3 linked regions of the Saccharomyces cerevisiae S288C genome follow. The gene in region 3 interacts genetically with the main gene of each other region. Each region holds a gene or a part of one and is shown on either strand. Other genes may lie near its edges.

The links.
Region 1: mutations in FAA2 (region 3) and PXA2 impair growth when combined (synthetic growth defect), as found in Saccharomyces cerevisiae (2 studies listed by BioGRID, with this or other methods).
Region 2: of FAA2 (region 3) and GCV3, changing one suppresses a phenotype caused by changing the other (phenotypic suppression), as found in Saccharomyces cerevisiae (one study listed by BioGRID).

What each region holds. Positions count from the first base shown.
Region 1 is NC_001143.9:83,331-93,263, reverse strand, and holds PXA2 (ATP-binding cassette long-chain fatty acid transporter PXA2), read left to right. Parts: upstream 1-4,477; coding exon 4,478-7,039; downstream 7,040-9,933. Other genes in the region: MTR2 (Mtr2p), read left to right, coding at 1-520; FAT3 (Fat3p), read left to right, coding at 1,728-3,980; HYM1 (Hym1p), read right to left, coding at 7,361-8,560; CNB1 (calcineurin regulatory subunit B), read right to left, coding at 9,714-9,933.
Region 2 is NC_001133.9:57,450-60,285, forward strand, and holds GCV3 (glycine decarboxylase subunit H), read right to left. Parts: upstream 1,014-2,836; coding exon 501-1,013; downstream 1-500. Other genes in the region: BOL1 (Bol1p), read left to right, coding at 69-401; RNA-processing protein PTA1, read right to left, coding at 1,246-2,836. UniProt on the Saccharomyces cerevisiae protein: The glycine cleavage system (glycine decarboxylase complex) catalyzes the degradation of glycine. The H protein shuttles the methylamine group of glycine from the P protein to the T protein.
Region 3 is NC_001137.3:182,983-188,035, forward strand, and holds FAA2 (medium-chain fatty acid-CoA ligase FAA2), read left to right. Parts: upstream 1-1,558; coding exon 1,559-3,793; downstream 3,794-5,053. Other genes in the region: HEM14 (oxygen-dependent protoporphyrinogen oxidase), read left to right, coding at 1-1,237; BUD25 (Bud25p), read right to left, coding at 749-1,187, 1,696-1,718.

The sequences.
Region 1 (9,933 bases), on a different chromosome or scaffold from region 3:
CGCAAATCAAGCACAAATAACGGCCACATTTACGAAGAAGATATTAGCGCATTTGGATGATCCGGACTCCAACAAATTGGCCCAATTCGTACAGCTTTTTAATCCAAACAACTGCAGAATAATATTTAATGCTACCCCCTTCGCGCAAGCAACAGTTTTTCTGCAAATGTGGCAAAACCAGGTCGTACAAACACAACATGCCCTAACAGGAGTAGACTATCACGCTATTCCGGGATCCGGCACGTTGATATGCAACGTCAATTGCAAAGTCAGATTCGACGAAAGCGGCAGAGACAAGATGGGGCAAGACGCGACTGTTCCCATTCAACCAAATAACACTGGGAACAGAAATCGACCCAACGATATGAACAAGCCAAGACCTCTATGGGGTCCATATTTTGGCATTTCCCTGCAGCTGATCATCGACGACCGCATATTTAGAAATGATTTTAATGGTGTAATATCGGGGTTTAACTATAACATGGTTTACAAACCCGAGGATTCTCTGCTAAAAATTTAGTGGGAAGATTCCGCTCTACCAGGGAAAAACAAAATTATATAGAAAAGAAGGTAAGTAATAAGTAATACGAAAAAACCCAAAAAAAAAATTCAAATACCCCAACCCTGTGCCCTTTCTATTTTTATGGTTGAAAAGGTTACAGAGGATCCTCTGGAGCGGTGACAACAGTTGACGCAATCATGGTCCCTGGCGGTCCCTAAGGATATCTCGGAGGAACCGAGGCACGGAAACGGCTGCACGGGTACGCCAGATAAGGATAATTCAGCCGTCACGCATGAACAGAAGGATGAGCATTTGCTCACCTTCCTGGACTTAACTTGCGTGAATGAAAAGAAGAACACCAATGTTAGAGTAGGGCTTCGCACCAAACTTTAATCAAGAAATCTGAGGAGAAATGATTCTAAGTCTAGCCACGAAAACTGCAAAGCGCACCAAAAGTAAGAAACGACAAAGTTTTTCTAGCATTTTTTTGTTTCATCAAGAGAAGAAACACGATTTATATAACTGTTACCGCTAAAACCTACATCTAAACTTTTTAATATCTGAAAGCGCTAGTCGTGTGTACCCCCCTCAACTGATCAACTGGTCAACGAGCTTTACTTGTGGAAGTTCATGGCAAACGCTCCTTGGCTTTTGCCTAGTCTTGTTCTATGGCACATTTTTCTGTTGAGTTACACCCCGCGTGCTAAAAAAGGGGTGAACCATCAGAAAGCTTATTACTGAGTTTTGCGGAGCATCGCTCGGAGCGGCGGAATTGAATCGAACCGCCGTGCTATTACCGAACAAAAAAATTCGAAAGCATAAACTCAGTAGTGAAAAACTTGAGAATTTTCAGATGAGTGGCGACTTTCCAGTCCTTGCGGTTTTGTCACCTTAGTCAGCTAGTAAGGAGGCCGTGTGGGTTAGAGTGGCTACAATCCTCAAAGGGCACTTCTAGAACCCACGGTGAATTTTTTTTGGCATGATAAATCGGTAGAATCGGTGAAGTAATTACCCAAAAAAGGATCGGGATTGTGTTTCTCGTAATTCCGTATTATTGCCGATGGCATCGACTACTTCTTTTTTCAGAAACCCCAACAAGGGTCTATTGTAATTGTATATAAACCTTTTTGTAATGGATATATACATGTGGTACTATTTCTCCTCATCCTGCTCCATCGAAAATCCTCATACGAAGAGTTAGGAAAGCAAAGAAAACAACAAAAACATGAGGATCGAAAAGCACCGTACCCCCCTGTCGAAGGGAATTATTTGGACGATATTGTCTGTGTGCCTTTTATTCATGTTCACCACACTGATATTGGTTATTGTAGCCACTGCTGGCTCCACCGCCAACTACAAACCCTTAACGAATATATACATCGGTGAAGCCGATATCAAACACATCAATGTAAGCAAGGTGATCCCGCAGATAGGCCCTATTTTGACAATATTAGGGTCCGCTTTGACGGCTCCGAACAGCTCCTTGGATGATATTTTTGGCGCCATGAAAAATATTGCTGATACTCCCGCGCTGACGCCGCTATTGACGCTTTTGTCTAATGCTGACAACACCACAGTAACCATCGAATCATTGACCGAATTGGCTCCCTTAGCGATCAGCGGCAATCCTGCTTCTAGCACGAGGCAGTTGACAGAGATTAATGGGCTGCTGAAGTATTCAGACAACGCAACTGAAACACTAGATGGCCTCTCAAGGTTAGTTTCTGCTTCGCTGTCTTCCGCAAGCTCTAACTCTTCCAGTGACTCAACTACTTTGGTTCTGGACTTATTAAAAGACTCCGATAACCCACAGAATTCCACAGATGCATTGCTAACTCTGAATAATCTGACAATGTCAGAAAAGGCGCAATTGTTACCGGTATTCAGGCTATTCGCTTTCTCCACGAACCAAACAGCTACAATGACGGCTCTGGCGACCTTGATGAACACTACTATTTCATCTTCTTTAGCCCAAACACTATTAACTCAGTTACAAAACACAATTTCAAACGGAGGTTCCCTAAATAACACGTTTAGTACTTTGCAACCACTAGTGCCGCAGGCAAGCGCCCCCGCATTTGATGCAGTGGAATTGCTGCTAAACCAGACCACCTCTACAAATCAGACATTGAGCACTCTATCTGATTTGCTGGAACAAAACCTCACTCAGTCATCATCTGCAAAAAAGGCGTTTGCTGCCTTAACCCAATTGATGGAAAATTCGGACAACTCGACAATGGTTGTCACTTCGGTCCAATCTCTAGCTGCGGTGACAAATACAACTCAATCTACTCAACAGCTAATTGGATTAGATGATGTGATAAGCTCCTCGAGTAACACCAACGAAACTTTGTCCATCTTGTCCGAATTACAATCGGGCCTATCCGGTAATTCAAGCTCCGTACAGTACATTCCATATCTCTTCAGTCTTTTAGGGGCATCCACTGATCCTAAAACAACATTTTCATCTTTAGTGACGCTGACTTCCTGGGCTCAAGAAAACCCTCAGACCTTCTTGCCCATTTTAGATATATTAGCGGATGCCAAATCCGTCCAACCGATTTCCGCAGAAGAATTGAACGCCATGACGCCGAATATACTAGAGTATCTGAAAATTCCGATTTACTATCGCTTATCCATTTTCACGCTATGCCATGCTAACCTGGAAAACAAGATCCTAGATTGTAACTCCCCACATGCTGTACAAAACTTGGATTTTAGATCGATTATTTATGACGCATTAGTCACATCAGACTTCCAACCATATCTGAACGCCCTGAATATTAGCGCCAACGATCTTTACCTAGAAGGGAAACTTTTACACAGAGAGCACCAATATGTGCCAGCAGTGAGGTCTGTTTTGGCTTTGAACCTCTTAGCGATCATCTTTTCCTTCTTTACCATGATTTTTATTATATTACTGTACTTTAACAGATATATGTTCAAACAACCATTATGGCTCATTGCCCTAGCTCTACACGTTTGCGTTGGTGTAGCCACTGTATTGGCAGCCATTATCATATCCGTTATGATTGCCATTATAAAGAGCGGTACGGCAGATGATAAATATGGTGTTGTGTTTAAAGCCGGTCCCGCCTATACAGGGCTGATATGGACAGCATTTGCGTTGTCTTTTATCGCCACAGGATTGATAATTTATACGTGGTGGAGGAACAGACGGAGTGGTCGTTACATGTCCGGATCTGTGACGAATAGGAAAGGCGAAATTTACACGTATGGGGATGGTTCTGCCATTTCTGCAGACCGTTTCGGCGACCATAACTTGGGTGATGATGATGATGCTGATTTCGAAAAACAGGTGAATCGTAATGAAATAACCGCTATCGACAACAGTAGTTCTGCCAATAATACAGATGTCACAGGTAGTACGAGTAATAGAACAGAGCTAAGTCACCCCGACGTGACACCAAAAGATTCAAATGGACCTGTTAACAATAATGCACATTTGGTAGCATAATTTTTTTCTTTTTCGTAAATGCTCTATCACTTTTTTTCAATTGTACCAAACCATTTACAGCGTTATCTTAATCTCTTATATTGAATTATAGTACATACCACACCATCATCCTTATTTAATAGCTTTATTTAAATTTCAAAACAAAAATTAATAATAATTTGGTAATTATTCATATTTTTGGAATATATGCAATTAATGTTCTTTCGTCTTTGATGTATATTCCTTCGGCGTTAATTACAACTATCACCGTAAAGTTTTTACCACCCTCCGAAAGATTAAGGGCGGCAATGAAATGTGGAGTAAAGTGAATGTTAGATGATGATATTGATGGCTTTGCTCGATCAAAGATAATATTATATTTAAGTATCATCTTGTCCTCAATCCGGTACAAAACAAACGTCTTCAACATTGTTATCTGTATTTTGTTCGTCTTGAATATGGAAAAGACTCAAAAGGGATAATAATACAATTAAAAGTTACCGAAGAAAGATTTTATAATGATCTCAACAGCTTCTGCATTTTATCAGAAGCATAGAGTAAATTTACTGCGTTCTTCATACATAATATTGTTGCTAGCCACGCTTTACAATTCAAATTCCAGTTCTAGTAACAACAAAACTGATAAGAAGGATTCTGAGTCAACGGTTTTAGAAAATAAGAAAATTGAAGAGGGAAAAGAAACCGCAGTAGATAGAGAGGAAGATGAAAGTAGCAAAGAAGAGTTAACGATAGTCTCCAAACATAGCACAGATTCAGAAGATGGTGCAATAATAATTGATAAAGAAAGCAAGACTAATCATAAGGGGGGAGAGCGAAAAGGAAAGGTAGATTTTTTGTTCAAACTTTTGCTTCATGATAAGAAGTGCCTCATTTTATTTATTACACAGGCTATTCTTCTGAACATCAGAACATTGCTGTCTCTTCGTGTGGCTACTTTAGATGGTCAATTAGTGTCCACACTAGTAAGAGCTCAATACGCAAACTTCACAAAGATATTGTTGGGGAAATGGATGATCCTTGGAATTCCCGCCAGTTTTATTAATTCACTGATCAGTTACACGACAAAACTTTGTGCTGTCACTATTAATAGGAAAGTTTCAGACTTTCTACTCTCAAAGTATCTATCTAATCACCATACTTTCTATTCCGTAGCTTCTGCTGAATCTGTTTCAGAAATTCAGGATAATTTGACAAAAGATATTTACACATTTTCAATGAACTCGTCATTATTACTGAATCAGCTATTAAAGCCAATGCTGGATTTGATCCTCTGTTCATTCAAATTATTAACCTCAAACACTAGTGTTATGGGTGAAGGAACTTTGGCACTGGGCTTAATTGTCTACGCCTCCAATTCATTACTAAAATTGATTCAACCGAATTTCACTAGGTTAACTATGGCAAGCGCATCTTTGGAAAGTTGGTTCAGATCTTTACACTCGAATCTACATTCAAGCAATGAAGAAATTGCACTGCTAAGAGGGCAAAAGAGGGAACTAGAAAACGTTGATTATTCATTTTACCGTTTGGTGCTATTTTTAAACAGAGAAATAAAGGCAAGAGCTATTTATGATGTTGCTACTGCATTTGTCATTAAATATACTTGGGGCGCAGCTGGCTTGGTACTATGCTCGATTCCAATATTTTTCAAAAACAAACCTAGTGAAGACACCTTACAGCTTAAGGAACCCGGGAATGATATGACGGCTGATTTCATCACAAATAGAAGATTATTAGTCACTGCATCTAGCTCTATCGGAAGATTTGTGGAACTGAAGAGAAATATACAACAATTACGCGGTATCAGATTGAGATTGAACAAGTTCAATGATTTGTTGGATGCTAATAAAGGTGATGACGAAAAAGAACCAAGAGATGAAAGGTGTATAGTGGAATATGATGATTCAAGGATAAAGTTTGAAAATATTCCTTTAATAACACCTGCCAATCAAGTTCTAGTACCGGAGCTAAGTTTTGATCTGAAGCATGGAAATCATCTACTAATTATTGGGCCCAACGGTTGCGGTAAATCTTCATTATTTCGTATTCTAGGCGGGCTTTGGCCGATAAGGGCGACTCCCAATAAAAATCATCAATCCAAGTTAATAATGCCGCGTAGAACTGTGGATAGAGATTGCGCAATATTTTATTTACCCCAAAGGCCGTATATGGGCAATAGGTCGACATTCAGGGAACAGATTATTTATCCAGACAGTATTGAACAATTCAAAGAAAGATATCACAATGATTATGATCTAGGCGATGCAGATTTAATAAAAATTCTGCAATTATTAGATTTGGAGGATTTAGTCACTGAAAATATGTCACTTCTGCTGGCGCAAAGGACTTCCAAAAATGATTCACAGCAGTTGTCGACGGAAGACAATCAGTCACCATGCGCCATTAAAGTTCGTGATGCATTCAGTATAGTAAGAAATTGGTCCGAAGAATTAACAATTGGTGTCCAACAAAGGTTAGCTATGGCAAGGATGTACTATCATAAACCCAAGTTTGCTGTGCTCGACGAATGTACATCTGCAGTAGCCCCAGAAATGGAACAAAGGATGTACGAAAATGCGCAAAATTTTGGTATCTCGTTAATATCAGTTTGCCACAGGACAAGTTTATGGCATTTTCATAACTATCTGTTAAAATTTGATGGTAAAGGCGGATACCAATTTGGACCGTTTAACCCGAAGGAAAGGTTATGTAATGAAGAAAAACTTCTTGAACTAAATGCCATCTTGGATCAACAGGTGCCACTTTGGGAGCGGAAGTTGAAAGATCTGACAATTGCTAAAGAATCCAACATCATTCGTAAATCAGAAACTAACCTGAATCTTTTTGAAAAGATCGAAGATCCAAAAACGTCCAAATCTAATGCATTGTTTAATGCAAATAAAGGGCAGCGAATCACATCACCTACAGGGCAGGAGACTAGTAAGAGATTACCACTATTTTCCCAACCATCTAGTTCAGCATCATCAAATTTACTAAGAAACAATAAAAGCTTGAACAAAAAAGTTAAAACAAAAAAGGAAGAAGGAAAGGAGAGGTAACATACATAGCCAAAGGAGGATCCAAATCATGTATAAATTGGATAAATAAATTGTTTTATAATAATTTAATATCTTGAGAAAGCGCTCATATTTACGGTTGATTGCTCAATTCCATGTACCGGATCCAACTGTACTGGCTTCCTCAGCCTCCGGTACCAACCTTTTTTTGTATAAATACGTAAAAATACAAAAGTCTGAACTATTTTTCCCTTTTTATGCAAATAAACACTTTCCTATATATAATTTTACTTTTGAATATTCATGTCACGACCCACTGCCTGAGAACTTTCCATTTTTTATAAAGTGAACCAAGTTTTATAGTTATCTTGAATCAGGTGAAGTTGAATGTGTTAAGATGGATGATTGATTGTTCATTACTGATGATGGAGAAGTTATACTGGCGACGTTACTTGAGGATGCATTATTATTAGAAACTTCTGTTGTGGACGAAATTATACGCGGCAAGGAATCAATTTCTTGAACGATGAATTCTCTTTCATCAAGAAAAGTAGAATCCTGAGAATCTAAACCGAAAGTTTTAAAATACGTCAATAGTTTATCTCTGTTTTTAACAAGAATGTCAAAAACAGGTTTTGACTTCCTTGGGTTTGCTACCATCACCTTGAATACGTTGAAAGCTTCAAGTTGTAAGTTTTTAGATTTGTCAGTCATTAAAGTCATTATGAGCTTTAAGTTTTCTGGGGAGTTGATATATATATTCATCAACGCGTTGTTAGATCTTATCACAATTAATGAGGCCAACAGTTTAGTGCTCTGCCTTTTCGTTACGTAGCTTCCATGAGCCATTAACTTGTTAATACATTTAATGAATCTTATGATATTAATCTCATTACTGAAGAATTCCTTAGACACTAATTTAGGATGTGCAGTAAATGCGGCACTTAATATTTGTAAAGATTCCGTACTGATTTCGAAATTACCCAGTTTCGCAAACTCAAAGAATTTCCATAGTTGAGGGTCCTTTAATATAATCCTACAAAGTTGTTCGTATTTGATACATTCAATAATCATATTCCCTACCGTTAAAAAGATATCTTGGCAACCCTTTTGTTGTAGAGCAACTTCCGCAGTCCTCAACATTAAAGATATGGTCTTTGGTTGCGAGACTAAATAATCTACTGTGACGAATTTATTATCCTTAGAGTATCCAAGGCATATAGAGAATATAAGCATGCATTCTCTCCTTGCTTCGAATTCCAAATCCACAAAATGAAGTAGCAGTTCATAGAACACGTCGGCACGATGCATGGCAGTATAAAGCTCGTCAATGGCTTCCGGAGTTGGGTGAGGATCCGTATCACCGACAATAAAATGTTTAGTGCCAATTAGATATTTTGTGCACTCTTCTTGTACCTTTCGTTTGTTATCCTGAGTCAGCGAGGGTGAGCTGAATTTATTTAGTTGTTCGATGATCAACCTGGCATAATCGGAAGGGGTCTTGGGGTTTTTCTTCCACCAAAATGCCATGTCCAAGTCTTGATTTTTGTATTTCTTAAACATTTGTCTTCGATTTGCGGATAATTTATACTGGGGATTACGTGCAATAAGCCTCTTACGGATAACACGTATTCTTTGGCTTAACTACTCCGAGATTAAATCGTATTGTTAAAACAAGAAGCTATCAACGCCTGTAAATATTGTGTCAGTGCCACTTTTGAAACAATTCTGAGACCACTTTTTATTTTTATTTTTCCAAGAGTGCAATCAGCGGGTTTCCTCCTTATTTGCGTTTGGAGCAATCTTCCCTTTTTCGAACACAAAATCCAAAATTTGGAGCAATTGGCTCTTCAAAATCAACGGTACATGCTCCTTATATTGGTAATAAATAATTCATATCCAGCCTCCTCTTATGGCTGCATAATGGAAAGGATCAACGCTTGCAACACAAAAATAAATTAAAAAAAAAAATTACTGAAGGATGCGAGGTTCGAACTCGCGCGGACAACCGTCCAACAGATCTTAAGTCTGCCGCCTTAGACCACTCGGCCAACCCTCCATACAAATTTTACTTACTGGAAACTCCCGAAGTGTTGTCAACACGTTTTAGGATATGAACTTATCCAATAAACCAATATCACAGTTTAACTTTATTGGAATAGGAATCAAAGATGGTCTGTCTCCTAGCATTAGTATTGCTGGTAATTATCATATACGGTGTAAGAAGATAGTATGATGATTGAGAGATAGTCATCGGGTTTAACGGAAGCTGATATGTAAGGATTGATAATGCAGTGGGATAGTGAATAACAACACATAAAACAAAGAAGAAGTAATAATCTTAATTTATATAACTATTGATCCCCCTTTGTGCATTGCCATATTTTTGAGGAAAATCTCTGGTATTCTGTATGTCTGATATCAAAGCTATTAATAACAATGGAATCCCAAAAATTATCAAAGTACACCCCGCAGTTATTACATGAGATCAGCTTCCATCTTGGTATATCTCGTCGCTGACATATATGCTCTCTCTCATCTCTATGTTGTATCATTGCTTTCTTATTGTTTGTTACATATACATATATATATGTATATATCATCAGCACTCTAACTGGGCGAGTGTGCGTTCCTTCCTTAAAAAACAATATCGCGTATTATTCTTCTTTTCTTAAAAATATTGGCATACCATAAATGAATGAAGTGTCCCCTAGTCTTACACATCGTATTGCAATGTCAGACTCTTGGCCACTTCTGTGGTTTCGATAGCATTCTTAAACTCCTCGAAACTTAAACGTCCGTCGCCGTCGCTATCGTTTTCCACTATCGTCCTATCTACTATCTGTTGCAGCTGTTCATCGTCCAGATTAGAACCTACCATAATCTTCAACACGATGAACAACTCACCATTGGATATGAAACCGTCCTTGTCAATG
Region 2 (2,836 bases), on a different chromosome or scaffold from region 3:
ATGTTCCGGAATGACGAATCAAAAAGAGAATAGCATCGTTAGCAGCAAACGAAAGTGGAAAGAGAATAATGTTCAAGAGAGCAATGAGCACAGATGGTCCCGTGGCACGTACCATCCTGAAGAGACTGGAATGCGGCTTTCCAGATTACAAGAACTTTGCGTTTGGCCTCTACAACGATTCTCACAAGCATAAGGGCCATGCTGGTGTACAGGGAAATGTCTCTGCTGAGACACATTTCCGGATTGAGATGGTCAGTAAAAAGTTCGAAGGCCTGAAACTTCCACAACGCCATCGTATGGTTTATTCCCTCTTGCAAGACGAGATGGCTCAGGCGAACGGTATCCATGCTTTACAATTGTCACTAAAGACCCCACAGGAGTATGAATCCAAAGCGAAATAGAATGCATAAGCATAAGTGTACACGTTGAGTTTATTGTTTTATTTCCCCTACATATATATACATATATATGAAATTACTTTACGTACGTATAAGCTTTGTTCAGTCATCATGAACCAGTGTCTTTTCGTACTGTTCTAAGGACATTAGACCCTCGACCTGTTCCACATTAACGCCCTCACCAAGCTTCATTTTGACTAGCCAGCCGTCACCCATAGGATCTTCGTTCACCACACCTGGATTTTCCTCAAGATTAGTGTTAATTTCCTCTACGGTACCATCGGCAGGCTGGTAGATCTCGGAGGCTGACTTGACGGACTCAATGGACCCTAGCGACTCACCTTGGGCAATCTCAGTGCCCACTTCTGGCAACTCAACATAGGTAGCGTCCCCTAAGGCATCAGTGGCGTATTTTGTAATTCCGACAAAGGCAGTCTTGTCCTGATGCACAGCTATCCACTCATGTTGGGAAGTGTACCTCACGGCTTGAGGTCCTTGGGATGAGTACAAAAATGGTAGTTTATTCTTGTTTAGGGCATTGCCGGAGCTGTTTCTCAAAAACAATTTGCTCACAGTGGGCATGCGGGTGGTCCATAGTCTAGTAGTGCGTAACATTGTCGATGTGGTATGCTTCATGTGGAGATTCCCTTTCCCATTAGATACTTGTTTGTTGGTCTGTATATATAGAAGAAAGAGTTAGCGAAAGTGACTCCGCCGCTGAATGACTCCTTACGGAAGTGTCAAAATTGCGAGGTCCCTATAGCACAGAATGATAGATAAAACATTGATTTGCAAGTTGAAGGAAGACCCTACACATGCGTATATATGATGTATGTAATGGTTGTGATCATTTTAGCCTGTCAAGCAGTGAATCGCACTGCTTGTGTAAGCCTTCATCTTCTTGCTTTAGCTGATGCAGCAGGTCGCGAACAGTGTCCTGCACTGGGGGTCTAAACATAATGAGAAACTTTAGCGTTTGGAAACCAAGGGAACTTCTTGCCGGATCCAGGCAGATAGGCTTCAGTGCCTCAAGATGATCGCTTTGAAGACTGGGCAGTTCGCTCATAAGTCTGATGAAGAATCGTCTGTGTTTGTTTTCAAGGAATGGACCCAGAGACTCGAGAACTCTTAAGGACCATTTTTTGTAGTTAGAGGGATCTTGATGCAGCGAGGTTTGGAAGAACCATTCTTCATTGAGCCATTCAATGATCAGACTGACACGTTGCTCGAAATCCTGGATGAAGAAGCCAAGCAGTTCTTCACGAATCAGGTCACTGGCCTCTTGTGCTTCGATTCCTCTCGTAACCAATCTGATTAAGACGTGTAACCATGACGAGGAGTCGTCATCGTCCAGTAATATGGAGGAGGAAGACGAAGATTTGGCCCGGGTAGTATCCTGGCGACCGGATAATTCAAACAGTTTCTTGGTCAGCTTTGAGAGGTACTTTAGTTTTTCATCCTGCGTCAATGAGTCAGGTTCAAAGGGGGGTGCGATCTCCTTAATGGCAGAAGTTGATTTGTTGGCATCTCCTGAGATTTCTTGGGCGCTTTCCTCTTCTTGAAGCATCTTCTGCATTCGGTCATCGTCTTCGGGCTCCTCTGGTTCCTCCGCTAGTGGTTCTGTTTCCATTTTGATTTTCTTGCTATTAGCCGTTGGGCCATCGTTTCCAACTTCTTCATTGTCGTTGCCGTCGTCATCATCGTCGGATTTCCTCTTTGATGATGACGAGGACGGTACAGAATTGATGTACGTATTCATTAAATCCGTGTACCTCGAAGCAACGATAGACAATCCGGTGATCAGTTTCGTGCTGTCCATTTGCAAGATGGCCTCTGTGGACAGCTTGATAAGTATGTCATTGGGTAGCTGGGTCACATCCTGGTTGGAGTTCGAACTGTTCATCAATGAGTACACAGATGAGTAGGTGTTGCTGATTGGTTTGGGTGAGTTGTTGAAAAAAGTATTGCCCTGGTGTGAAGCCTTGTTGAGGGTGTATTTTTGCAATATCTTCAGTTGATCAAGCATGTTTTCGGTTGAAGAGCCCGTTGCAGGTGCGGACACAGGCGTGGGGGTCTTTGTGGACACCCCTAGAGTAGACAATAACGCGGATAATTGCCTTTTCCATAGTGAGATGTATTTTAGTTTGTCCTGCCTGGACAACGTTTTCTTGCTATTGCCCTTGGAAGGGTCGAAGTTCAAAATTCCCTTGCTCTTGGTCTCTTCGCCAATAACGTGTAAAGTTTGAGAAATCTTGGTCAGCTTGGAGTAGATCGATGACCCTGATCCGGATGAGAGGGATTTTGTAATGATTTGATTTTTTAGCCCAAATTGCACAAAGTTCTTGTACGCCCTTTCAACAAATCTCTTGGATAGTTTGTAGTTCAAGTCAGACTTGCCCTCTAGGGGAAACTTGGCGTCGACGTTGAAACGCAACAGC
Region 3 (5,053 bases):
AGTAAAATTTCTGCTGAATCCGTTGGGAAAAGGACTCATCACGGGTATGATGGGAGAATGGTTCAGAAAAAAATCTCCACATCCTGGCCAAGACGAAAGTGTCGAATCCATTTGTGACAGAAGGTTTGGGAATAACTACATATCAAACAATATGATCAGTGCCTTACTAAGAGGTATCTATGGGGATGACGTTTCCCTATTAAGTGCCAAGAGAACGTTTAAGAAAATATACTACAATGAACTAAAGCACGGATCTAACACACAAGCTATGATTGATAATATGCGCGGAAAGTCAAGAAGTAAAAAAACTGAGAACCTGCACCAATCTTTAACTGGCTGCCTTAACGACTACTCAAATGCGTTTGGAAAAGACAGGTCAAAGTTATTAGACTTATCCAACACGCTAAAGAAATATCCCATGTTGGGTCTTGCTGGGGGACTAGAAACGTTTCCCAAGATAGTCAGAAATGCTTTGAACGAATTTAAAAACGTCAAAATAGTTACTGGGAACCCGGTTACGCAAATAATGAAACGCCCTGCTAACGAAACGACAATCGGATTGAAAGCGAAATCTGGCGACCAATACGAAACATTTGACCATTTAAGACTTACGATAACACCTCCCAAAATCGCTAAATTGCTACCGAAGGATCAAAATTCATTATCCAAGTTATTAGATGAGATACAATCAAACACAATAATTTTAGTTAATTATTATTTGCCAAACAAAGATGTAATAGATGCCGATCTACAAGGCTTTGGATACTTGGTTCCCAAATCCAATAAGAATCCAGGGAAATTGCTTGGTGTAATTTTCGATTCTGTTATCGAAAGGAATTTCAAACCACTTTTTGACAAACTCTCCACAAACCCAAACGCCCTCAACAAATATACAAAAGTGACTGCGATGATAGGAGGTTGTATGCTCAATGAACACGGTGTTCCTGTAGTGCCATCCAGGGAGGTAACCATTAATGCAGTCAAAGATGCGCTGAACAACCACCTCGGCATCAGTAACAAGGATCTGGAAGCTGGTCAGTGGGAATTCACTATCGCCGATAGATGTCTGCCAAGATTTCATGTAGGTTATGACGCATGGCAAGAAAGAGCTGAAAGGAAGTTGCAAGAATCTTACGGCCAAACAGTTTCTGTGGGGGGAATGGGATTTTCTAGAAGTCCCGGTGTCCCTGACGTTATTGTAGACGGCTTTAACGACGCCTTACAGCTAAGCAAATAAGTACGTATATATATGGTTAGCTTTACGCAAACTACTTCTTTTGACAATTGAGGCAGTTATCAGCTAATAAGAAAAAGTAGTTAGTATCAAAAGACACAATTTATTTATATTAACCAAATTTTTCAGAACATCCTCCGGACCGTCAGTCTTTAACGCCGAGCCGCCGATGATGGGTTGGAGTCAAAACGAGGGAACTCAATATTAATTGCGGAGTTGAGCGATGATGGGTTGGAACTATATAAAGCATCGGAAACGCATGGCTAAGGGAAGTGGAAGAATGCAGGTTACAAAAAACGGATAAGAACAAACTTGTTTCGAAATATGGCCGCTCCAGATTATGCACTTACCGATTTAATTGAATCGGATCCTCGTTTCGAAAGTTTGAAGACAAGATTAGCCGGTTACACCAAAGGCTCTGATGAATATATTGAAGAGCTATACTCTCAATTACCACTGACCAGCTATCCCAGGTACAAAACATTTTTAAAGAAACAGGCGGTTGCCATTTCGAATCCGGATAATGAAGCTGGTTTTAGCTCGATTTATAGGAGTTCTCTTTCTTCTGAAAATCTAGTGAGCTGTGTGGATAAAAACTTAAGAACTGCATACGATCACTTCATGTTTTCTGCAAGGAGATGGCCTCAACGTGACTGTTTAGGTTCAAGGCCAATTGATAAAGCCACAGGCACCTGGGAGGAAACATTCCGTTTCGAGTCGTACTCCACGGTATCTAAAAGATGTCATAATATCGGAAGTGGTATATTGTCTTTGGTAAACACGAAAAGGAAACGTCCTTTGGAAGCCAATGATTTTGTTGTTGCTATCTTATCACACAACAACCCTGAATGGATCCTAACAGATTTGGCCTGTCAGGCCTATTCTCTAACTAACACGGCTTTGTACGAAACATTAGGTCCAAACACCTCCGAGTACATATTGAATTTAACCGAGGCCCCCATTCTGATTTTTGCAAAATCAAATATGTATCATGTATTGAAGATGGTGCCTGATATGAAATTTGTTAATACTTTGGTTTGTATGGATGAATTAACTCATGACGAGCTCCGTATGCTAAATGAATCGTTGCTACCCGTTAAGTGCAACTCTCTCAATGAAAAAATCACATTTTTTTCATTGGAGCAGGTAGAACAAGTTGGTTGCTTTAACAAAATTCCTGCAATTCCACCTACCCCAGATTCCTTGTATACTATTTCGTTTACTTCTGGTACTACAGGTTTACCTAAAGGTGTGGAAATGTCTCACAGAAACATTGCGTCTGGGATAGCATTTGCTTTTTCTACCTTCAGAATACCGCCAGATAAAAGAAACCAACAGTTATATGATATGTGTTTTTTGCCATTGGCTCATATTTTTGAAAGAATGGTTATTGCGTATGATCTAGCCATCGGGTTTGGAATAGGCTTCTTACATAAACCAGACCCAACTGTATTGGTAGAGGATTTGAAGATTTTGAAACCTTACGCGGTTGCCCTGGTTCCTAGAATATTAACACGGTTTGAAGCCGGTATAAAAAACGCTTTGGATAAATCGACTGTCCAGAGGAACGTAGCAAATACTATATTGGATTCTAAATCGGCCAGATTTACCGCAAGAGGTGGTCCAGATAAATCGATTATGAATTTTCTAGTTTATCATCGCGTATTGATTGATAAAATCAGAGACTCTTTAGGTTTGTCCAATAACTCGTTTATAATTACCGGATCAGCTCCCATATCTAAAGATACCTTACTATTTTTAAGAAGTGCCTTGGATATTGGTATAAGACAGGGCTACGGCTTAACTGAAACTTTTGCTGGTGTCTGTTTAAGCGAACCGTTTGAAAAAGATGTCGGATCTTGTGGTGCCATAGGTATTTCTGCAGAATGTAGATTGAAGTCTGTTCCAGAAATGGGTTACCATGCCGACAAGGATTTAAAAGGTGAACTGCAAATTCGTGGCCCACAGGTTTTTGAAAGATATTTTAAAAATCCGAATGAAACTTCAAAAGCCGTTGACCAAGATGGTTGGTTTTCCACGGGAGATGTTGCATTTATCGATGGAAAAGGTCGCATCAGCGTCATTGATCGAGTCAAGAACTTTTTCAAGCTAGCACATGGTGAATATATTGCTCCAGAGAAAATCGAAAATATTTATTTATCATCATGCCCCTATATCACGCAAATATTTGTCTTTGGAGATCCTTTAAAGACATTTTTAGTTGGCATCGTTGGTGTTGATGTTGATGCAGCGCAACCGATTTTAGCTGCAAAGCACCCAGAGGTGAAAACGTGGACTAAGGAAGTGCTAGTAGAAAACTTAAATCGTAATAAAAAGCTAAGGAAGGAATTTTTAAACAAAATTAATAAATGCACCGATGGGCTACAAGGATTCGAAAAATTGCATAACATCAAAGTCGGACTTGAGCCTTTAACTCTCGAGGATGATGTTGTGACGCCAACTTTTAAAATAAAGCGTGCCAAAGCATCAAAATTCTTCAAAGATACATTAGACCAACTATACGCCGAAGGTTCACTAGTCAAGACAGAAAAGCTTTAGGTACTTATGACGATTTGGAACACATTCAAACTAGAAAAAACTTTGATGTAGGATATCCCTATGCACATCCATACGGTATACATAGTGAACGCTCACTGTGTATAATGGACTAACAGTAGTTATAAACCTGCTTTCGTTACTACAGCACACAAGACTATTGTACTTTGTTAAAGAACTATAAGATTAAAGACATACATAATTCCAACTATTTATACCATTAAATATTCTTCTTAAGCTTTTTTTCGCGGCTTTCTATAATATATGAGGATCAATTAGTGAAAGCAATGCTCTCTATGTTGGAACCACAGTGTAGATACTGCACTTTCATAAAGCGCTAGATATAGCTGGTCAATCTAGCGGAGTACATGGGTCACAGTTACCATTCTCGTAACTTGACTTGGTGCACTACGGGTCAAGATGATTGAAAACGGCTCCCACAACTTCAACTGAGGTCTGTTTCAGATGGAGGTGCAGTGTTTTCCATGTAGTGAGCCCTGATATCGGGGCGTAATCACCTAACTCAGCAAAGGTAAACCTTTCTCATCTGACGGAGATAAAGTGATAGTAATCGGGGATGCGGCGACAGAGATTGAAGTTAATTTGACCATTGAATAGTTGCTTATATATGATAGACTTAGCTAAAAGAAAATAATGAAGGCGTACCCCATATCGCTGATCAGAGAAATCCATGTAGATAGAATTTCTGTCTCCGCTAAAACTGCATGAGCGACTGACTGAAGCTCTACTCATTCAAAAATTATCCCTCTTCACTTCCCGTATTCACACTTGTTGCCACTATGGACATGCTCTCTTTGAAAAATGTAGTCTCACCCACAGAAAAGAAAAGATCATTTGAAAATAAGATATCCTGGGAAACCCGCTTGAATTATTCCAGTGTTTCTACCTAAAGAAAAATCACGCAACCAGAAACAGATTTCGTCTGGGTTCGTTCAACAACTCTTTGCTTAAGATTTAATTAGCATATGCTAAATCGCCATTAGGAGCAAAACCAGGGCTTCTAACGATTTCCAATAAAGAAGATACGGAACTTTTCATGTGTTGACAACAACATTACAGGGATTTTTTCAGACTTTCATGTTACCGGTCAATCTGCTGATGCATACATACAGGTATAAAGAACACTTTGCCTAGAACAATAAAGAAAAGTCAAAGACATCTGAGAGGCATCTTCTTACCTGAAAGAGACGCCTTGTATCTTCTATAGGTCAACTAGAGTAGGTGTTCCGGAAACCTGAATGA